5 linked regions of the Mus musculus genome follow. Each later gene encodes a partner of the first gene's protein in a complex. Links are inferred from orthologs where the notes say so. Each region holds a gene or a part of one and is shown in the gene's direction. Other genes may lie near its edges.

Region 1 (3,870 bases):
CTGTCTTTTCCCCCACTCTGGAGCAGCAGTTGTATTTCCTAACTACTCTTTGCCAACTTAGCCTTCCTCTTCTTTGGTTCCAACCCAGCTTGAGGTCAGGGGCCCTGTTTCTTGGCCAGTTAGGGCTGAGCCACTTCTCCCAATTCCCATAGATCTCAAGATATTAGGGCAGGTCTTGATCTCAGCAGCTGTACAGCATCCATCTCACTTGCTCTTCCACCCTCCTTCTGGGCTTTGCGGTTTTTGGCAGGGTCCCTTTTATTGGATTGTATTATGTGTCTATGGGAGTCTTTCCCCCCCAAACTCTCCTTTATCACAAAATATTTTCTTACACCATTTAGATGCCCTGGGCAGAGGGTGCCTGATCCACTTTCTACCCCTAGTTGGGAGGGGCCTCTTGTCACCTAATTGATTTGCTGTGCTGCAGACCTAGGTCCCTCCTTGCTGGCCTTCATGAGGGAATACCCTAACTGCAATGCCGCCACGCCTTTTCCCACAGACAGCAAGGCTATTGTGGATGGAAATCTGAAGCTGATCTTAGGCCTCATCTGGACCCTGATCCTGCACTATTCCATCTCAATGCCCATGTGGGATGAGGAAGAGGATGAGGAGGCCAAGAAGCAAACACCCAAGCAGAGGCTTCTAGGCTGGATTCAGAACAAGCTACCACAGCTTCCCATTACCAACTTCAGTCGAGACTGGCAGAGTGGCCGGGCCCTGGGTGCTCTTGTTGATAGCTGTGCCCCAGGTAAGGGAGATCTTGGGCTAAGACTGTCTGGTCAACCTAGAAGGTAGCTCTATAGCCCCAGACTCACAACAAGTTCTTTTCTGTGTTGTAGGCCTATGTCCTGACTGGGACTCCTGGGATGCTAGTAAGCCTGTGAACAATGCACGGGAAGCCATGCAGCAGGCTGATGACTGGCTAGGCATTCCTCAGGTATGCTCCCGGACTGACCCCTGCAGCTAAGGGGTGCTTGGTTAAAGTGAAGAGAGACCCAATGGCTCTTGTCTTCTGTCTGTAACAGGTGATTACCCCAGAAGAAATTGTGGACCCCAATGTAGATGAGCATTCTGTTATGACCTACCTGTCTCAGTTTCCCAAGGCCAAGCTGAAGCCAGGGGCTCCTCTTCGGCCCAAACTGAACCCGAAGAAAGCCCGAGCCTATGGGCCAGGTGAGGGGGCCTGGTCAGTGGCATTCCAAGGGGCTGAGCACTTATATCCGGTCCATGGGACAGTATTCTCTTTCATTTTGGGTCCTAAGAGGTCTTGAGGAAGATGAATGGATCAAAACCTGGTTAAAAATGGTGCCTTGGCAAGGGAATACTAGTAAGTTCCTTAAGTCATACTGGCTTGTAGGAAGCTTCTTGATTGAAGGAGAAGAACCTCACGTATGAAGGATGACCTCGTGTACTGCTATTCTATAATTGGAGATGAAGCAGTCAGGATTGTGCAGGTGCAAGGGGTTAGGAAAGTACAGCAAACCAGATTTTTCAGAGAACAGGCATGGGCCTGTCTTGGTGGCAATAGCCCATATAGCATGGATCTGAGGCCCGGCTCAATGCTGGGTTTACATTGAACAAATCTACCTGATTGGATTGTACCTAGCTGGGGGAGGGGCACTGAGCCTGCAGAGGGATAGGGTCTCTAATGCTGTGTCCATAACCCTTTAGGGTCTGGGAACCAGGGTATAGAGGTGAGAGGGTAGCCCTACTAGTTGGTTCATGGCTTTCTCATCTTCTGACAGGCATCGAGCCTACAGGCAATATGGTGAAGAAGAGAGCAGAATTCACTGTGGAGACCCGAAGTGCTGGACAGGGAGAAGTGCTTGTATATGTGGAGGACCCAGCTGGACACCAGGAAGAGGTAGGATTATCCATTAGCAGGGCAGGATTCTGTTATGCCCCCTTTTAAAGGGGTTGCTCTTAACACTCTTCCCATTACAGGCAAAAGTGACTGCCAATAATGACAAGAACCGTACTTTCTCTGTCTGGTATGTCCCTGAAGTGACAGGGACTCATAAGGTGAGTCCTTGGCTGAGAAGGAAGCTGGTGGCCATGGGTAGTTGGTGAAGGGCCCCTTACCTCACTCTCACAGCCTGCCCCTTCTGGGAACAGGTGACTGTGCTCTTTGCTGGCCAACATATTGCCAAGAGCCCCTTTGAGGTGTATGTGGACAAGTCACAGGGTGATGCCAGCAAAGTGACTGCCCAGGGCCCTGGTCTGGAGCCCAGTGGCAATATTGCCAACAAGACTACCTACTTTGAGATCTTCACTGCAGGTGAGGGGAGACAGCCCAGGCCCAGCCAGCCATGGGGGAGAGCTGTGCTGGGGTCCTAGAGCTGAGTCTGTGCCTTGGGACAGGAGCTGGCATGGGTGAGGTGGAAGTTGTCATCCAGGACCCTACAGGACAGAAAGGCACAGTGGAACCTCAGCTGGAGGCCAGGGGTGACAGCACCTATCGCTGTAGCTATCAGCCCACCATGGAGGGTGTCCATACAGTACATGTCACCTTCGCCGGTGTTCCCATCCCTCGTAGCCCCTACACTGTCACTGTTGGCCAAGGTAGGCCTGCCCATGAGTGTTCTTCTACTGTGGTACTATGGCCTGGGGCTCTAGGGAGGGAGTTGGCAACTGGGACTGTCCCACTGAAGCCCATGTTTGGGAGCCCCAGTTTCTGAGCTTCCACTGTTTGGGCAAGCACTATCTTTCCTTTCCCATATTGGAGCCCTTTTGCTCTCCTTCCTCTCTTTGCCCCTCTTCGTCTCTTTTCTCCATGCTTTTACCTTCGGAAGAGCTCGCTCCAGCTGTCTAGAAACCTGCTGCTCTCTGCTCTACCTGCAGGGTCAACGGTACTTGGATCTACCTTTCTCTTGGTGGGGAGGACTGGGTAGGGGTATTGGGGTTAGTGTCAAGCAGGTGGGAAAAAGCCTGTCATGTCTTTGCTTTGGGTACAGGTTCTAGACCCATTTAAGTTTTTTCTTGCATGTGCTTCACCAGCTTGTGGTCCTAAACTCTGAGGAACCTTCCAATCCTAATGGCCTGGTTTTCTGGGTAGCAAGGGAGGGGATACCCAGCCCCAGTTCCCCACAACTCAGCTGGCTTATTTGCCCACAGCCTGTAACCCAGCTGCCTGCCGGGCTATTGGTAGAGGCCTTCAGCCCAAGGGTGTTCGAGTGAAGGAAACAGCCGACTTCAAGGTGTACACAAAGGGCGCTGGCAGTGGGGAGCTAAAGGTCACTGTAAAGGGTCCCAGTAAGTTTATCTGGTGGGGTGGTGGGTGATAGACCTCAGGTCATGGTTGGACAAGCAGGCCTAAGTTCTTCCTTGCTTTTGCAGAGGGTGAGGAGCGTGTAAAGCAGAAGGACTTAGGGGATGGTGTGTATGGCTTTGAATATTACCCTACAATCCCTGGCACATACACTGTCACCATCACATGGGGTGGCCAGAACATTGGTCGAAGGTAAGCTCCCTCCACTATTCATCATGTTCTGAGCCCTACCATCTATCTGGTGAGGGGCCAGTGGCTGTTGGGCATAGGGCAGTGGCTCTTGGTGTTTACCTGTGTGGTACTCTTGCCTGCAGTCCGTTTGAGGTGAAGGTAGGCACTGAGTGTGGCAATCAGAAAGTTCGGGCATGGGGTCCTGGCCTGGAAGGAGGCATTGTTGGCAAGTCAGCAGACTTCGTAGTAGAGGCCATTGGTGATGATGTGGGCACCTTGGGTAAGTTGGAGGCTTCAGAGTGGGTACCTGGACTAGAGGGTGGCAAGGGCAGCCTATCCCAAGACTCCAGAGCACCAATAGAACTGATGGCTGTTGTCAGGTTTCTCTGTGGAAGGTCCATCACAGGCAAAGATTGAATGTGACGACAAGG
Region 2 (4,459 bases), on another chromosome or scaffold:
AGGCAGTGGTTAATTCATGGAAATAAAGATGGAGGGGACATGGCTTCATGGTAGAGCACTTGTCCTGCATTCGAAAGGCTATCCCTAGCACTGCAGAAAAGGAGGGGAAAAAAGAAAAGACTTAAAGGAGGGTGTGGCTATAGTCCTACGACCCTTTGCCTTGGGGCAAAAGGCAAGCAAGACCATCAGGGCATGCGTGGTGCTCTTCTGCTCTCTGCCCCCTACCCCCATAGAGAAGGATCTTTTTTTTTAAAGACTTATTTATTTATTATATGTAAATACACTGTAGCTGTCTTCATACACACCAGAAGAGGGTGTCAGATCTCATTATGGATGGTTGTGAGCCACCATGTGGTTGCTGGGATTTGAACTCAGGACCTTCGGAAGAATAGTCAGTGCCCTTAACCACTGAGCCATCATCTCTCCAGCCCGAGAAGAATATTTCTACGCAGAATCTGACCCTCCTCACTTTGTTTACTCCTTCCATCCTTTAGGAAGACTTCAGATTCAGCCTTTCAGCAGCACTACATGCTGGGCTGTGGGCTAGGCCCTAGGACAGCAGAAAGAACCCTTGCTCTCAAAGGACTCGGGTACTCAACCCAGTAAAAAGTGCCATCAGGTACCATGCCCATGTGTGTGTATGCCATGGTGCCATCCTGAGGACTCACGAGGTTTCTCCTAGTCAGTGACTCCGTCCACAAACAGTTCTGGAAGGTTCTATTCTAGCTATCTTTCAATCTATTTTATTTATGTAGATACTGTCAACCAAAAAGGAGCAAAGCTGTTCACTTGAACAGCTGGTGCTCAACCTCGAGGACTGTGAACGCCGCACCTCAGAATGATGTCCTTTTAGCTCCATCTCCCCCCACTTAGGCCAAGACCCATTCATCACCCCTCTGCCCAGTATTGAAGGCTCCAGTGTAACCACACTAAGACTTGGTTCAAGATGGAGACGTGAGGAAAGTGATGGTCAAATGCAACCGGCTGAGGCTGCCCAAAGGCTCATGGGGGAGGAAGTGGGTAAATGTCCTACTCAAAATGATGACAGCCTCTGGTCTTATCAGGGGAGAACAGCTTGCTTACTCCTTCCTCTCCCCTTGGCCACATCACAGCATTCAAGAGCAGGATGGTCAGCTGCATGGGGGAGGTAAGAGCTGTACAACTGTGGGCCATGGCAAAGTGAGCCAGGCAGCGAATTCATGGTTATACTTTCCCAGGCAGAAAGGGATGGTGGCTGGACTTTCACAGTGACAGAGGAAGAGAAAGAGAAAGGGGATTGCCGGGCTTGTGGCTGAGAAACAGAGACAACAGGACATGGAGGTGAGCTTTCCTGGAGAGGAAGGGGAAGCAGTGACTTCCAGCCATCAGCATCCATCCCCGGGGTGGGCCCTCCCCCGTCCTAGTCGACGTCTAGAGGCTATTGCCCTCTGCCATGCCTGCTGCTCAGCCATGAGCTCCAGTCTGATAAGCTGAAACTTCCGGTGGTGGGAACTTCAGGGAAAGGGAAAGAGCTGGCCCATTCCTGTTTAGGACGTTTGGGAAGAAGGAAGATGGCCAGAGCCTCCTGCGCATGGCATTCCCTGTGGCTTCTGCAGTGGACACCACTGTTCTTGGGTCCTAGTGCTGTTCCTCCAGTCTGGGCCTTGAACCTGGACTCTGAGAAGTTCTCCGTCTATGCAGGTCCCAATGGCAGCCACTTTGGCTTCTCAGTGGACTTTCATAAGGACAAACATGGAAGGTGAGCGCTAAAGGACATATGGGCGTTAAGAGAGGTCTGCACCCTCGAATTGCTCCTGTGGACTCTCTCAGTACCTAGATGAGCAAGGTCAGTTCTCCGGTCTGAGTGGAGCTCCTGTCAATGGAGGACCGTTTCCAGGGTGGGTACTGGGGAGAGATAGCAATGGGGAGATGAGCACAAAAGTTTAAAGCTGATGTCTTCCTTTTTCCTTTTCCCCAAGTGTCAGTGATGTGACCGGCTTTACCTCCCTCCCCTCACCCTAAACTGACTGGCAAAGCTACAAGTACCTACCTGGTACACCTTGCTTTCCTCCGTTCCATGCCTCACCTCCTTCCAAATTACAGATGTTTGAAAAGAAGTATTAGATTACTAACAGTCAGTATGGATCAGGCTTTGAGGTCAGACTCCTGGCTCATCTACATAGCTGTGTTTATCCTGAGTGACTTATTGAGATGGACACTGGATTGCCCAGGACTGGGGAATAGTAATTATTCTCAAAGACAGCTGCAAGAAATTATTTCTTCTGCCTGAGAGAGCCACTTCATCAAAAATCAGGTCCCCTTCCCAAGATGGCTTGCACGCAGAGACTATTCGTGATGGGGAAGAACCCAGGGTTGCCTCAATTCTAATGATTCTAAAGGGCACTTCTCTAGCTGAGTGTGGTAACATGTGCTTGCAAACCCAGGACTTGGAAGCTGAGGCAGGAGAACTACCACAAGTTAAATAGCCAGGGCCACATAACAAGACTCCATCAGAATAAATACATAGAATTCCTGATGGGTGTCATGACAGACACCTTTAACCAATCTCCTTTACTGGAAAGCAGAGTTAGGCAGAGCCAGCCTGCTAATCCAAATAGTGAGTTTCCTCCGGGACAGCCAGAGCTACATAGAGAGAGCCTATCTCAAAACAAATAGACAAAACCAACCAAACGAAACCCTCCTGGCATCAGAGCTCCTGAGTGCCTCTGTTCAACTCCTTTCTTTTCTTCCGGTCTCCTGCTTCATTCCCCAAGGTCTGGTCACATGGGCACGATTTAATAAGCATCCTGTGTGTTTATTAACGCACACGTTTACAAAAGCATGTTGCCGGATCATACTAAATACCTCTCATACAATTATTGCATTTACTCTTCCAACAGCAACATTGGTTGTCATTACCTCCATTTTACATATGGCAGGCCTGATTTAAACAGAGATCTGCTAGGCTCCTCAACCCTGTCAGTACCGTACATCCCAGTGAGCTCTCCCCGGCCTTCCCCCTTTCAACCAGGTCTAGCTAAGGGATCTCTCTAGAAGTTTGACAGGCAGACATTTTGTCTGGTTCTTGTTGGGAGGGAGTGAGGGTGAGGGAAATCGGTGTACAAAGGAAGCATAACAGGTCTTTTCAGTAAGGATTATTAAAGCCTTCCCATCCAAACCAAACCAACTGGTTTAGTCTCAGGTTAATTTCCTAAGAATCCACTTTCAGCTAAAATGAAGAGGTTGTCCTCAAAGGACTATCTGTGAGGAAAGGTGGTCCAGTTTTTCCTATGCCACGCCTCCTTCCAGGTACTGCTGGGGCAGTGGGCACCGGGCAGGATAGAAAGGCCATAACCTGTGCTCATCCAGCTTTCCTACACAGCGTGTCCATCGTGGTGGGCGCCCCCAGGGCCCTAAACGCAAGTCAAGAGGAGACTGGAGCCGTATTCCTGTGCCCCTGGAAGGCCAATGGTGGCAAGTGCAACCCGTTGCTCTTCGACCTCAGTGAGTCTCAAGAATGAAGGGGAAAGGGGGTCCCCAGGTGGAAATGGATGGCCGGGCTCCAGAGCTCCACCTTTACTTGTGCCCTCCAGGGGATGAGACACGAAACCTAGGCTTCCAAATTTTCCAAACCTTCAAGACCGGGCAAGGACTTGGGGCGTCGGTCGTCAGCTGGAATGACGTCATTGTGGTGGGTACTGTGGACAAGTCAAAGGGAGCAAATCCAGGGTAGGGACACGTTGGGGGAAGCCCGAATAAGCCCCCTTCCCTACTCTCCTGTGGGTCTGCTCTAGGCCTGTGCCCCCTGGCAGCACTGGAATGTCCTGGAAAAGCGCGATGAGGCAGAGAAGACTCCGGTAGGAGGCTGCTTCTTGGCTCAGCTCCAAAGCGGGGGCCGCGCAGAGTACTCGCCCTGTCGCGCCAACACCATGAGCTCCGTTTACGCAGAGAGTTTTCGTAAGCTCTGGTTTGCCATTCGCTCCGCCCACTGATCGCTGCCAACCCCGCCCCACCAAGGACCTCGGGCCCCGGGGGCCCGCCCCTCCGCTACACCACGCCCCTGGGCCCCGCCTCCATGTCCTCCGGGCTCTGCATAGTTCCCCCTGCCCACGCGGGGCTCTTGGCTTAAGCGCACATTCGGGGGACCTCCCCTTGGCTGATCCCCGCTTGCCTCTTGTAGGCGGAGACAAGCGATACTGTGAAGCAGGCTTCAGCTTGGCGGTGACCCAGGCAAGTCACAGGCAAAAGCAAACAAGAGAGCTCAGCTTGATGGTTGAGACAGGGGGAGGGCGAGTTTGAGGTCAGCCTGGGCTACATACAAGGCAAGCCTGGGCTTCAAAGTAAGACTGCTCTTAAAAGGAGAAGGGGATGGCTTCGGTGGTCCACGCCTATAATTCCAGCAATTGGAGGCCGAGAAAGGGGTGCTCGAGTTCGAGGTCTACCTGGGCTAGGTAATAAGACCCTGCCATAAAAATGAGAT
Region 3 (3,870 bases), on another chromosome or scaffold:
CTCCTCTTCTTCTAAACACCCATGAGGAGGCCAGATAGAAAATTAGGGGAGGGTACCAGACCTGATGTCAGCTGTAACTTCATGCCTATCAACACAGTGAATACCTGCACATTTCTATTTACAATGGCCCTGGGTAGAAAGATGAGCGTGGGATGACAGCACCCTCTAGGGGCACCTGCTGAACATGTATCTGAGAGGGTGGGCAAAGGACAAAAAGCAAGGCCTGGTCACCCACAGTTGGGAACTGAAGGCCACCATTCCCCTCTAGGTCACCTTCCAGGTAAAGGTCATGGCTTCCGAGTGTATCCAGGAGCAGTCCTTTGTCATCCGGGCACTGGGTTTCACGGATACAGTGACCGTGCAGGTCCGTCCCCAGTGTGAGTGTCAGTGCCGGGACCAGAGTCGGGAGCAGAGTCTCTGTGGAGGCAAGGGAGTCATGGAGTGTGGTATCTGCAGGTGAGGAGGGTACGTGTGGCCTGTGGGGCATCAGTTCATGGAAAAGGTGTCTGCAGATGAGGCCAGCCCATAGCATGGCATGCCTGCTTGTGAGCCACATGTCTTCAAGTAAAGTAGGTGTGGCCAGCTCACCCAGGAAACAGATGCTCTACAGGAACTCCCATATCCTAGCTCTCTGACCTCAGAGACTCTGACCAATCAGATTTGCAGCATGTTGCTAGAGCTCCTTTGGGATAGCTGACCATTCCTGGCAGCCTGGGCCCTAAAACCATCCTGTGGGCATGTATATACAGGCCTCAGTTCAGTTGAGGAGGAGGAAGAGAGAGAGGAGGAGGAGGAGAAAGAGGAAGAGGAAGAAGAGGAGGAAGAGGAAGAAGAGGAGGAGGAGGGGGAGGAGGAAGGATGCAGTGTACAAAGCATAGAGGCTGTAGTTGCCGGTCTGGATACTAGCCATTTCCTTCCAATTGCTGTCCCAGTTTCTGATCTTTGAGATGCTCTATCCTGAGCTCGAGAGATGGCTCCGTGGTTAAGAGCACTGACCGCTCTGAATTCAAATCCTAGCAACCACATGGTGGCTCATAACCATCTGTAATGAGATCTGATACCTTCTTCTGGTATGTCTGAAGACAGCTACAATATACTTAGATATAATTATTATTAATAAATACGTCTTTAAAAAGAGAGAGAGAGAGATGCTCTATCCTACACCTCAGACCTGCACTGGCTGTATACCTCCTCCCAGAAACTCTAAGAGTGGTGGTTTCTGCGGCTGCCCCATCCCCACCCCCGGCCAGTAGCACCTTGCCCTGATCCTAAGTGTACAGCCCTAGGTGGCCTCTCTACAAAGCTGAGCTAACTTGCCTGGAGGATTGGGCCATTGGTCAGTGAATTCTGTGGCTTCCTCCTGCAGGAGGACACTGCAAGATGTGTTAAGATTAGCTACTGCCATTCTTCTCTTACTAAGCTATGTATGGTGTACATACATTCTTCTGTCTACCTAGTTCAGTGATAAGGCAGTGATCTCGGATCTCTACCAGACCTCCTTCCAAGTCTAGGTCAGGAGGGACAGATACTGGCTTCTTGGGACAATCCACTAATACAAGTCTCAGGCAGCTCCCAGGTGAGCCTGCAAGAGGTACCATGCTCATAGACCAGTCACTGTGTGACTGTGACCCCGGAGACATCTTTGCCTAGTACATAGCACATGCTCAGGAGACATTTGGAGAGCAAATGTGCTATGACATACTTTACAGGTGTTTGAGTGACTGTTGGGCCGGGAAGGACAGGTACCCCCTTCCCAAGGGCACACCTAAGTACAACCCCTCCCACATCATACCAGGTGTGAGTCTGGCTACATTGGGAAAAACTGTGAGTGCCAGACTCAGGGTCGGAGCAGCCAGGAGCTGGAGAGAAACTGTCGGAAGGACAATAGTTCCATCGTGTGCTCAGGGCTTGGGGACTGCATCTGTGGGCAGTGTGTATGCCATACCAGTGACGTCCCCAACAAAGAGATCTTTGGGCAATACTGCGAGTGTGACAATGTCAACTGTGAGAGATATAACAGCCAAGTCTGCGGTGGCTCAGGTTAGTGTTGGGGGCTTCCTTGTCCATTTGTACCAGGAGATCTTAAGTGGGACATGGGGGGGGGAGCAGACAGACAAGGCTAGCAATGACCTGTATCTGTGTCTGTGTCAGTCAGCGTTGTCCTGGGAAGGTTGTGGAGGGGAATAGTCATGTCCTGACCCAAGAGCTTTTCAGATACAATAAAGAGGTCCCATCTGGCTGGATGGTGGCCATGTTGCTGAGGATGCAGGTCAGGAAGGTATGCCTGGCCTCTGTGGTTTTGCTAAGCTATCCTTCCATGGTGCTCTGGGGTCATGTGAATTGGTAGAGGAGGCTTAAGTACAAGTCCTCCTTGATTGGTCTGGGGAGCACGGAGGAGGGAAGATGAGCCTCTGTTCCTAGCAGCCTGCAGGGAAGTGAGTCATGTTATCCTCTGTTGTTTTCCAGATCGGGGTTCCTGCAACTGTGGCAAATGTAGTTGCAAGCCCGGTTACGAGGGCTCGGCCTGCCAGTGTCAGAGGTCCACCACGGGCTGTCTGAATGCACGGCTGGTAGAGTGCAGTGGCCGTGGCCACTGCCAATGCAACAGGTGCATATGTGACGAAGGCTACCAGCCACCGATGTGTGAGGATTGTCCCAGCTGTGGCTCGCACTGCAGGGACAACCACACGTGAGTGTTCCCACTGCCCACATTGGCCTCACTGCTGGACTACCTGGGAGCCCTTGGGGACACCACTGCTCCAGAGTTCTTAGCAGGATTCAGCAGGTCCAGTGTCCCTGCCACCACCTGCCTTCTTGCATGGCTGCAGGAGCCCTGGCTTCACAGGGAGGATGCTAGGCCTAGGCCCCTTCAGCCCTTGAATGAAGTTTCCATTAACACTGGCTCTGCCTTCCATACCCTGGTAGGACCACAATTTGTGTCTCTCTCATCCCTCACTTGGTTACCCTGAGACTGAAAGCTCCCAGACCCTCCACCTAGGACCGCCTAGTTTGCAAATGACTACACTCTCCTCAGACCATACATCAGACACAACCATGTTTTTTCCTGAGTCATACACATGACCTTGCATAGCTCTGCAGTCCATGCACCCTCAAATACCAGTCAGTGTACCCACATACACCTGGACATCCTGGCACACACACTTTGACACACTAGCGCACCCTTCCACAACCACACACCTCCACGCACCTGCGTGCCCTGACATCACTGATGTGCCCTCGAAAGAACCAACATGCGCCAATTCACACCTCATGCCCTTACATGCTCTCAACACCCACCCCACCTGACTCCTCCTCCTCCTCCTCTGCAGCTCTTGTGCCGAGTGCCTGAAGTTTGATAAGGGCCCTTTTGAGAAGAACTGTAGTGTTCAGTGTGCTGGTATGACGCTGCAGACTATCCCTTTGAAGAAAAAGCCCTGCAAGGAGAGGGACTCGGAAGGCTGTTGGATAACTTACACTTTGCAGCAGAAGGACGGAAGGAACATTTACAACATCCATGTGGAGGACAGTCTAGGTGAGGCTGGGTGGTACCTGGGGGTGTGATCTCATGATCTGGTCTCAGTGGAGCATAGTTCTCAGTGGAGTACTCTGACCGTGAGGCCTTTGCAGACAGTGAGGGGGCTGTAGAGGAAAACATCTCTCTTCAGTGGGGCAAAGCAGGAGGTGGAGCCATCCGGGACACTTGGGCAGGGCAGCTAGCAGCCATCCACAGGCTCTGCCCTGTGGCCCTCTCATTCCCACTCCTTACCCGGCCCTGTATGAGGAGATGAACATTAGATGGGGTCTCCTGGTGGTAGCTCTAATACATACTGGGTATTGTCTTAGCTTGCTGTGAAGAGACACCATGACCAA
Region 4 (3,870 bases), on another chromosome or scaffold:
CTATGTCTGCCTTGTTTGTTTTTGTTGTTGTTGGTTTTTTTTGTTTGTTTGTTTTTTTGAGAAAGGGTCTCTCTCATTCTATATGCAGCCCAGGCTGGCCTTTACCTTGCAATCCTTCTGCCTCTGCCTTCTGAGTGTTGCGATTAGGAGTCTGAGCTACCATGCCTGTTATTTTTTTTTCTGGTCTGGAGGCTGAACCCAGTATCTTACAGTATGTTAGATATTACCTAACTACCAAGCCACTCCAGCCTACTCTGTTTTTTAAAGTCAATAAATAGAGGAACCACCTGTAAATGATCAAAGGCAGGACACTTGACTGGAGATCTCATGAGCTCCCTCACAAGGTCTAGGTTTCCACGGACATAGTCATGACTCGTACTGTTTCCTGGTCTCTCCACTTCCTTGGTATTAACCACATCCAAGCTGAGCAATGTCAGACAATGGGTAAGTCAGCAAACTTTGACACTAGTCTACCCAGAGCACTGAGCTGGAGCTGTGAGAGATGAAACAGCTATAAGGACCTACCTACTCTTAGGAGGTTTAGATGAAGAGAGAGGATTTATCCCTACACAGTATTAATAGCATGGAACTCATGATGTACACTAATTGGGTGGGTGACACAGTCAAGGGCTATTGGCAGTTGAAGGAGGAAAGCTCTTAGAAGCTGGGGTGGTCAAGGAGGGCTTCCTGGAGGAGGTGAGCTTAGGCTAAGGAAGGAGGAGGATTACCAAGATGACAGGTAACAGGAGAAATGAGCCAGGTCAGTGCTGAGGAGAAGAGGCAGGCGTAGGGGTGAGTGACATTTGGACAGTGAGGCTGAGATCATGTGGCAGGTGACCAGTAGAGCGAGGTTAGGGCATTTGCCCGTAATTCCACAACAGTGGGGCCCAGCCCATGGAGATGTTTTGAGCCTGAGCGGGAAGGAAGGTGCTTGGTTTTGGAGCCACCAGCCCAGGGTTCATAGCCGAGCTTCTGGGACTTTTTACCCTTTCACTCAGGCACTGCGCCATTTTCTGTTGCTAATGATACAATAGCACAGACACAGTAAGTTGGAAAAGAGCTTTCGTTTTGTTTTTAGAACTTGTGAATTTGAGGGACAGCATCTGGTGATGATCACGGCTGGCTGAGTCCCAAGACTCAGGCGGTCCTGAGGCAGGAGGTCAGGGAGCATGCGTGAGTCCGGAGGACAGGGAGCATGCGTGTGGGTTTCTGTCTTCATTGGTTTTCTTTTGTTAAGCTAGTGAGATTCAACTCTGGGGCCTTCTAATTCTCCTTACTTCCCAAAGACTTTACCCTAAATACCTTAGCGGTGTGTGTGTGTGTGTGTGTGTGTGTGTGTGTGTCCACTGTCTCAGCATCTCACAGGGGGAAATCAGTTTCAGCTCACGAAACCTGAGGGGTTTGCTGAAGCCACACCCAAACCATAACACTCACTTTGATTAGTGGGTAAAATCAAAGTTTCACATTGCTTTGGTCATACCCCAAATAAGACAGCCTCAAAGGCGTAGAATCCAGGGATGCCTGTGAGACGTGTCTATTAACCTTCACCTTTTCCCCGTTTTCAGGACTACCCATCTCTGGGGCTGATGACTGAGAAACTATCCCAGAAAAACATTAACTTGATCTTTGCAGTGACTGAAAATGTCGTCAGCCTTTACCAGGTAATTAGGGCTCTGGGCTTCTCTCTTGTCACCATAGGTGGGACCTGACCCCGGTGGCCAGCTCCTGCTTTCACTAGCCAGGGACCCAACCAGGAAAAAAATCCTTTTAAACTCATTCTCCAGGCTGCTTACATTCCTCCCTGTAGCCTTTTCCCTTCAACCTCTCACCTATAAGGAAACCTGTGGTGGTTTGCAATGGCGGCGGAGGTGACTCAGTGGGGGGAGGGGTAGAAAAAGGTTTTTGTTTTTTAAATAATGTTTCTTAGATATGAAAATATGCTAGATCTGTTTTGGTAGTAACAAGTAAGATACTTCACAGTGCCCTCCAAACTTAATTTTAAGACTGCCAGTTGGGCGGTAGTGGTGCATGTCATTAATCCCAGCACTTGGGAGGCAGAGGCAGAGGCAGAGGCAGGCAGATCTCTTGAGTTTGAGGCTTCCTGGTCTACAGAGCAAGTTCCAGGACAGCCAGGGTTGCACAGTGCAACCTTGTCTCCCAAAAACAAAGAAAGAAAGAAACAAACAAACAACCGCTGCCAGTCTGACGAAGGAGGACCTGAGGAGGAGACCACTTTCTTCAGGACGCTGTGGACATCTTTGTCTTCCTTTCTAGAATTATAGTGAGCTCATTCCTGGGACCACAGTGGGAGTCCTGTCTGATGACTCAAGCAACGTCCTCCAGCTCATTGTTGATGCTTACGGGGTAAGAATGCTGGCCCAGGAGGCCCTGGTGCGTCTGCTGGACGAAGCTTACTCATCAGCGCTTTTTAAAAAAAGAAGTACAAGAGGGATGTTGTGGTCTACGGCAGAAAACAGACACATAAATTTCCTTCAGGAAGGAAATTATATCAAAAAGCCGTGCTTGGACCTGTGGGTGGGAGAATATTAGATACAAACAATATAATAGGGGGACTGAACATAATAGGACCTTAAAGGTGACAAGAGGCTTCCCTGTAGAGCCTGAAGAGGAGCTTCATTAAGAGAGTGAGAGGTTCAGAGAAGGAGAGAGAGAGAGAGAAAGGAGAGAGAGAGAGAAAGAGAGAGAGAGAGGAAGACAGAGATACAGGACAAACTTCCATGATAGCAGTGGGAGGGGAGGCCCAAGGAGCCTCTCCAATGAGCAACCTTTATCTCCAAACCCAATCTTCTTGCTGAGTCTAAGACCAATCCCTAGAACAAAGGGAGGCTCCAGCTCTGTATACGCTTTAGGAGTGGCGGGAAGTTTCCAATCATATGGTTTGGTTGAACATCACACACAGAGAAGCCAGGAGGTACTATATACATTGAGAACAGTCAAGTCAGAGCACAAATTGTCTTGGAACTCTCTGTCCCAAAGACAGCTGCAGGGACTCAGGCTGTGGGGTCACTCCTAAAGGTGCAGGCCCATGTTCTAACAGAGCTCGGATTTGGGAGCCATCTGCCATTCTCCTGTATGGTCTTACTGCGTTTCCTTTATGCTCCCAGAGGTAGATGGTGGCCAGCCTTGGGAGTAATGAATGGCACCTTCAGAAATGGGCCAGAAAGGAAGGCCAGGGAGGAACAGGAACGGCATGTGGGGAGCTTAGAGGAGGAGGAGGCTGCAAATGGGGATTCGATGCCCAAGAATGCAGCTGTAGGGCAGAGTGAGGGAAAGCCAGGTCTCAGCCACATACAAAAGAGGTGACCGAGCATAGAGCCTCCATGGCAGCAACTGCCAGGTAAACCTCAGGGCAAGTCCAAGGCCACTGGCTTGGCTTTGTGTGGATGGACTTGGCTTTTGTCAGTGCCCTAACCTTCCTTTACCCTCTTCTGCTCAGAAAATCCGCTCTAAAGTGGAGCTGGAAGTACGTGACCTGCCGGAAGAACTGTCACTGTCCTTCAATGCCACCTGCCTCAACAACGAGGTTATCCCGGGCCTCAAGTCTTGTGTGGGCCTCAAGATTGGAGACACGGTGAGGTGGGCTAGGGGAGGGACTGATGCTGAGACTCTGACCATGGGCCCCGAGATCTGTGTGCATCCTGACCCTTTCCAGAATTAGGTGTTAGGGTAGTAGGGTTGTCAATCTTTGCCCGTGAAGCTTCGGATGCTTAAGGTTTCTAGAGCTGCCAAGGAAACCTATTATTTATTTTTTCTTAAAATGTCTATTTTGGTTTTCTGTGTTTGCACGTCTGATTGAAAGTGAAAATATCTCTTAACCTATCTCATCACCCAGGGTAATGCTTTTCTTTT
Region 5 (4,337 bases), on another chromosome or scaffold:
ACACATTTCTCACACCAAAAACCTTGGAAGGAAGGTGCACAGCTTGGGAAACTTCCAAAGCCTCCAGGGAGCTAAAGACTCAGGTTTTTCTCTCTGTGAGCTTGAGTGACTAGGACACTTTTGCTTCAGTGACTCAGAGGCCCTTTTAGTGTCTCAGTCAAGATATTTTGCTTAGCAGACTAGGGAAAGGAAAGGAGGGTCATTTAGTTTAGACTGTCCACCTGTTGTTTTTTAGCACACACACATGAAATACCACACTGCACACTGAGCAGGGCCCGGAGGTAAAGGGCCCTCTTTGCTCTCTTTGTCCTTGAGGACTTTGGCTGTAATTATGACACAGCAGGGCATTGTGACATATATGTACGACACACATGTACCTCATAAGGGAAAGTAGTAGCTTCCCTTTCCTTGGTAGGACCTTTGCTGTAATTATGACATATCAGGGAATTGTGACATATGTGTATGACACACATATACCTCATAGGTATTTGTGCCACTATGGCTACTCTAGAGCCTTCAGTCAACAGAGCTTAGGTCTTGTCCAGCTCTTGAAGGGCTTACTGAGGTGGACACCTCAGAGTACTGTGGAACTTGCTGCTTCCTGAGTGTTCTTTGATACAAAAGAGCCACATTTTCATCTCCTTTTCAAAATGGATCTTGAAAAGTTATCTGTAACTAAGCCAGGAGCTAAGGAGACAGGAGAAAGAGGGAGTGAAAGAGAAGAAAAACGAGGAGAGAGGAGTGAAAGGGAAAGAGGAAGGGGAAGAAAAGAGGAAGAAAGAGAGGAAAGAGGAGAGCGAAATGAAGGAGAAAGAGATGAAGGTGGAGGAGGAAGAGGAAGAGATGAAGAGGAAAGAGATGAAGGCAGGGGAGGAATGGGAAGAAAAGAGAGAGGAACAGACGGGGGAGAAAGAGATAAAGGAGAAAGAGGAGAAGAGGAAGGGGGAGAGGACGAGGGAGAGGGAAAGGGAGAAGGAAGAGAAAGGTTCCAGGAAGCCAAGGAGATCAGTGAGTGGTCTTTATTTCCACGAAAAAAGGGTTCTAAGTCCCGCAGATTGGCCACGGTTTACCCGGGCCCAGGGTCGGGCCCGCAGTCTGAGCCGGTGTTGCTGTGGCTGCCTGAAGGTAGGCACGCGGGGGGATCTGGAGGGCGGGCGCTAAGGCCGAGGGCCAGGGAAAAGGTGGCGCCGGCGGGCGGGCGGGCGGGCGCGGGGCGCGCTGGAGGAAGGAGCGCAAGGAGCGCGCGGGGCGGGCGCGGGCGCGGGGCGTGGAGAGCAGCGACTGTGAGGCTGGGCTAGGCAGCGCTGGCTTTAACCTGGGCGGCGGAGGCGTGGGGAAGAAGGCTGAGGAAGGGGAGGTGTGTGGGACCCGAGTGGGTGGGGGGAATTGGAAGCAAATGACATCACCTCAGGTCTGAGTAAAAGGGACGAGCCAAAAGCATTGACCTGGTCCTGGATATCCAGATGTCGAGTCCAACCTGAATTTAGCCGAACACAGACCTCATTGCCTCACGGAGACATCATGCAGAAGTCGCCTTTGGAGAAAGCCAGCTTTATCTCCAAACTCTTCTTCAGGTGAGAGGGTACTCAGCGGATCTTTGCACGGACACATGTGCCTATGCAGGAGAAGGGAATGAATATGGGCAGACTTTGGGAAAACAGGAAGAGATTTTTGTTGTGTTTGTTTTGTTTTAAAAGGTGTGTTGTCATTCAGTGCTTTAAAGGAAATAAGCATTTTTGTACAATAAAATGAAGCTGATTGAATAGAGAACAAAATATACTTGCAACTGTGAATCAGACTTGCAACAGCCAAATATGCTACGGAGCAATAGATATATATTTTTTTAATTTCCTGAAAAAAGTTATACTTCATAAGTGTACTTAATAGAACATTCCTAAGATTGGTCTGTTATTTTCTCCAAGAAAAGCTGACCGCAAGTGCAGTGCCTGTGTAATAGGTGCTCTGAAAACATTTGTTGACTGAATTTTTTTAAAAGTCCAGGAATTATATTGTATTTACTTTTTGCCGTTGTAATATTGAGTAAGTCTAACATGCTCATCACAGTTACATTATTCTTTTTAAAAATGAGCAAGTCAGTTAAAATATCTAACTTTAAAAAGAAATAATATAAGCAATGCATTAAAAAAGTGAGTTACCATGGGGATATGAAACTAGAGTTTTAGCCACTGAAGCTATATTCAATTGACAATTAGGACATTGTTCTCTTATCCTACATTGTCAAAAAACCAAACCCTCAATCTAATAGGATTTTTAAATTAGAATTTAAGTTGGAAGACCTAGGCAAGAATTAAGCGCTTTGTATTTGAAGTGCTCCGTGGAGCTTCGTCTGCTCTGATCCTGTAGTGTGAATGAATGAAAAGAGCAGCGCTCATGGGTCCTCAGCTGACTCACCCCCCCCCCCCCACACACACACCAATGAGTCAGCACACTGAAGTATCATAAGTGTCGAATATGTTCTCAACCTGCCCTATGCTGTGGGTAGGGGGCAAGGCTCAGCCTTAGTCTTCCTGATGTTCCTTTTTCAGCCGGTCTAGAGCTCAAGGCTGAGGAAAGACAAGTGCTTCTGCAGGAGAGCTCCCCCCGGTGGTTGGGAGAGAAGGAAGGGCTTTCTTCTTTAGAATGAATATTTGTGGTGCCTTTTGTTACTTCATCTATAAATCTAGCTTATCGGTCTGGATCTATTTTCTTATTACTTACAAAATCAGAATGTCACTTGACATACATGTGAGGCTTTTATGAAAGCCTATTGAGGAACCTAAATGTCAATGTGTCTGTAAAGGCAAGTTTTCAGGAGAATGAATATCTCTTGTGTGGTTTTCCCACTAAGTAGTAAGAAACTTCAAAATTTTTCACTTATCAAAGTGTTTCAAAAATTTCCCGTTTTTATAACCCACCTAATAAATTGTAGTGTGCTTTACAAATGTTCTTAGGCTGATTTGGAAAGGAAATGTATTATAATGGCTGTGAAATTTGTTAAGAACATACTCATTTCTGCCCTCCAAATGATTTCATAATCAGTTGCTTTAAGAATAGGTGTGTTTTTAAGAGTTTAGTTCCTACTATTTATAGGAACTGACATTTAGCTAAGTACTAGTCAGTGATTATAAACTTCCTTCTGGACTTTAATTTTCAAAGAGTAAAACCCTTTTCTCCACTGGACTAGGCAGTGCCGCCTAGTGACCAGGGCAGTGGGCCCTGGATTCCCATGGCCTGGACTCAGGCTGCAGATCTACTGCTTAGTAGGCAAGCCCTTTGGTGTCTCTGCATGACTTCAGTGCTACAACTTGGAGTCTGTCAGTGTGACACATAATGTAATGGGTTAGTCTGTTGAGGAATATATGCTGTGCTTTGAGGACATGTTAGCTGCCCTTACTGTTGTTTACATGTTTACATTCCTCGAAGTGCTGGGATCCTCACTGTAAAGGACAGTGAGTTTATTTCTGCTGGGTGCACTTTTGTGACTATAGCCTGTATCTATGCCATTTGCTTGAGAAGTTAGCATAGGGGATAGATAGCCTCACGTAGCATGGGCTTGTTAGATACTTAGATGAAAGCCATGCTCTTACATCAGATCTCCTTCAGTGCCTTAGAATTTAACCTATCCCATCAAGCTTAGGGTTATAAAAGACTCCTAAAAGCTGACTTCTATGTGTCTACTATTATGGTCTTGGTTTTGGATTATATTAATTAACATTTTAATTATTTAGATTATGTTACTGAGAAACCAAAACAAGTTTAATAATAATTTAAGTACTTTTTATTTTTTTAAGTTTTCAGTAAGTAAAAAAATGGAAAGACATTGGAATTGGTCTAACACAGAAGATAATTTTACCATGAAAATTTCAAGTAATTTTTTTTACTTTCATGGAAAATAAATGCATTAACTTGAAGGTGTAATGATAACATTTATGAAATAAGTTGTTTCAAAACAAGTGGTGATATATTTATACAGAATTTATGATTGACATATTAGTGGAATTAATTCCTAAAAACCTTTGATTTGTAGAAATGTTTGAACTTTACACTTTCATAGAGATTTAAGAAAAAAGATTATGCCTAACGTGTACCTGTTAGTGTGTGTGTGTGTGTGTATGTGCGCGTATGCATGTTTGTATGACCATAGAGTGCAGTATAAGCTATCATCTCTTGAGTCATGTCTCTCATTGGCCTGAATCTCACCAGTTATGTTAGACAGACTTGCCAGTGAACCCAAGGGCTTTCCCTGACTCTACCTTCTCAGCACTGGGATTACAATCTTGTGTCACTCTGCCCGCCTTTTCACCTAGGAGCTTGGGATTGAGCTCGGTTCTTCATTC

The links.
Region 2: the proteins of Flna (region 1) and Itga2b are in contact, whole or in part, in an NMR structure (PDB 7SFT), measured with the Homo sapiens proteins. The link is inferred for Mus musculus from reciprocal best matches to the Homo sapiens genes FLNA and ITGA2B. Residues at the interface, in NP_001104026.1 of Homo sapiens: Thr2263, Gly2267, Ala2268, Gly2269, Gly2270, Leu2271, Ile2273, Ala2274, Val2275, Glu2276, Gly2277, Ser2279, Ile2283, Phe2285, Asp2287, Arg2288, Lys2289, Gly2291, Cys2293, Val2295; in NP_000410.2 of Homo sapiens: Trp1019, Lys1020, Val1021, Gly1022, Phe1023, Phe1024, Lys1025, Arg1026, Asn1027, Arg1028, Pro1029, Pro1030.
Region 3: the proteins of Flna (region 1) and Itgb2 are in contact, whole or in part, in a crystal structure (PDB 2JF1), measured with the Homo sapiens proteins. The link is inferred for Mus musculus from reciprocal best matches to the Homo sapiens genes FLNA and ITGB2. Residues at the interface, in NP_001104026.1 of Homo sapiens: Val2241, Thr2263, Ala2266, Gly2267, Ala2268, Gly2269, Gly2270, Leu2271, Ala2272, Ile2273, Ala2274, Val2275, Glu2276, Gly2277, Pro2278, Ser2279, Lys2280, Ala2281, Ile2283, Phe2285, Phe2311; in NP_000202.3 of Homo sapiens: Leu753, Phe754, Lys755, Ser756, Ala757, Thr758, Thr759, Thr760, Val761, Met762, Asn763.
Region 4: the proteins of Flna (region 1) and Itgb3 are in contact, whole or in part, in an NMR structure (PDB 2MTP), measured with the Homo sapiens proteins. The link is inferred for Mus musculus from reciprocal best matches to the Homo sapiens genes FLNA and ITGB3. Residues at the interface, in NP_001104026.1 of Homo sapiens: Gly2236, Arg2264, Ala2268, Gly2269, Gly2270, Leu2271, Ala2272, Ile2273, Ala2274, Val2275, Glu2276, Gly2277, Pro2278, Ser2279, Lys2280, Ala2281, Ile2283, Phe2285, Asp2287, Gly2291; in NP_000203.2 of Homo sapiens: Lys742, Ile745, Thr746, Pro771, Leu772, Tyr773, Lys774, Glu775, Ala776, Thr777, Ser778, Thr779, Ile783, Tyr785, Arg786, Gly787, Thr788.
Region 5: the proteins of Flna (region 1) and Cftr are in contact, whole or in part, in a crystal structure (PDB 3ISW), measured with the Homo sapiens proteins. The link is inferred for Mus musculus from reciprocal best matches to the Homo sapiens genes FLNA and CFTR. Residues at the interface, in NP_001104026.1 of Homo sapiens: Thr2263, Gly2267, Ala2268, Gly2269, Gly2270, Leu2271, Ala2272, Ile2273, Ala2274, Val2275, Glu2276, Gly2277, Pro2278, Ser2279, Lys2280, Ala2281, Ile2283, Ser2284, Phe2285, Asp2287, Phe2311; in NP_000483.3 of Homo sapiens: Ser10, Val11, Val12, Ser13, Lys14, Leu15, Phe16, Phe17, Ser18, Trp19, Thr20.

Annotation. Positions count from the first base shown.
Region 1 is NC_000086.7:74,239,795-74,243,664, reverse strand, and holds part of Flna (filamin-A), read left to right. Parts: intron 1-499; coding exon 500-748; intron 749-839; coding exon 840-937; intron 938-1,025; coding exon 1,026-1,173; intron 1,174-1,745; coding exon 1,746-1,864; intron 1,865-1,944; coding exon 1,945-2,022; intron 2,023-2,115; coding exon 2,116-2,278; intron 2,279-2,361; coding exon 2,362-2,562; intron 2,563-2,792; exon of another isoform or gene 2,793-2,849; intron 2,850-3,114; coding exon 3,115-3,252; intron 3,253-3,336; coding exon 3,337-3,460; intron 3,461-3,582; coding exon 3,583-3,719; intron 3,720-3,819; coding exon 3,820-3,870. UniProt on the Homo sapiens protein: Promotes orthogonal branching of actin filaments and links actin filaments to membrane glycoproteins. Anchors various transmembrane proteins to the actin cytoskeleton and serves as a scaffold for a wide range of cytoplasmic signaling proteins.
Region 2 is NC_000077.6:102,466,804-102,471,262, reverse strand, and holds the start of Itga2b (integrin alpha-IIb precursor), read left to right. Parts: upstream 1-1,379; 5' UTR 1,380-1,550; coding exon 1,551-1,738; intron 1,739-3,361; coding exon 3,362-3,483; intron 3,484-3,572; coding exon 3,573-3,670; intron 3,671-3,773; coding exon 3,774-3,936; intron 3,937-4,159; coding exon 4,160-4,209; intron 4,210-4,459. UniProt on the Homo sapiens protein: Integrin alpha-IIb/beta-3 is a receptor for fibronectin, fibrinogen, plasminogen, prothrombin, thrombospondin and vitronectin. It recognizes the sequence R-G-D in a wide array of ligands.
Region 3 is NC_000076.6:77,557,684-77,561,553, forward strand, and holds part of Itgb2 (integrin beta-2 isoform 1 precursor), read left to right. Parts: intron 1-268; coding exon 269-456; intron 457-1,795; coding exon 1,796-2,040; intron 2,041-2,466; coding exon 2,467-2,689; intron 2,690-3,329; coding exon 3,330-3,532; intron 3,533-3,870.
Region 4 is NC_000077.6:104,638,727-104,642,596, forward strand, and holds part of Itgb3 (integrin beta-3 precursor), read left to right. Parts: intron 1-1,565; coding exon 1,566-1,661; intron 1,662-2,274; coding exon 2,275-2,364; intron 2,365-3,457; coding exon 3,458-3,592; intron 3,593-3,870. UniProt on the Homo sapiens protein: Integrin alpha-V/beta-3 (ITGAV:ITGB3) is a receptor for cytotactin, fibronectin, laminin, matrix metalloproteinase-2, osteopontin, osteomodulin, prothrombin, thrombospondin, vitronectin and von Willebrand factor.
Region 5 is NC_000072.6:18,169,303-18,173,639, forward strand, and holds the start of Cftr (cystic fibrosis transmembrane conductance regulator), read left to right. Parts: upstream 1-1,384; 5' UTR 1,385-1,521; coding exon 1,522-1,574; intron 1,575-4,337. UniProt on the Homo sapiens protein: Epithelial ion channel that plays an important role in the regulation of epithelial ion and water transport and fluid homeostasis. Mediates the transport of chloride ions across the cell membrane.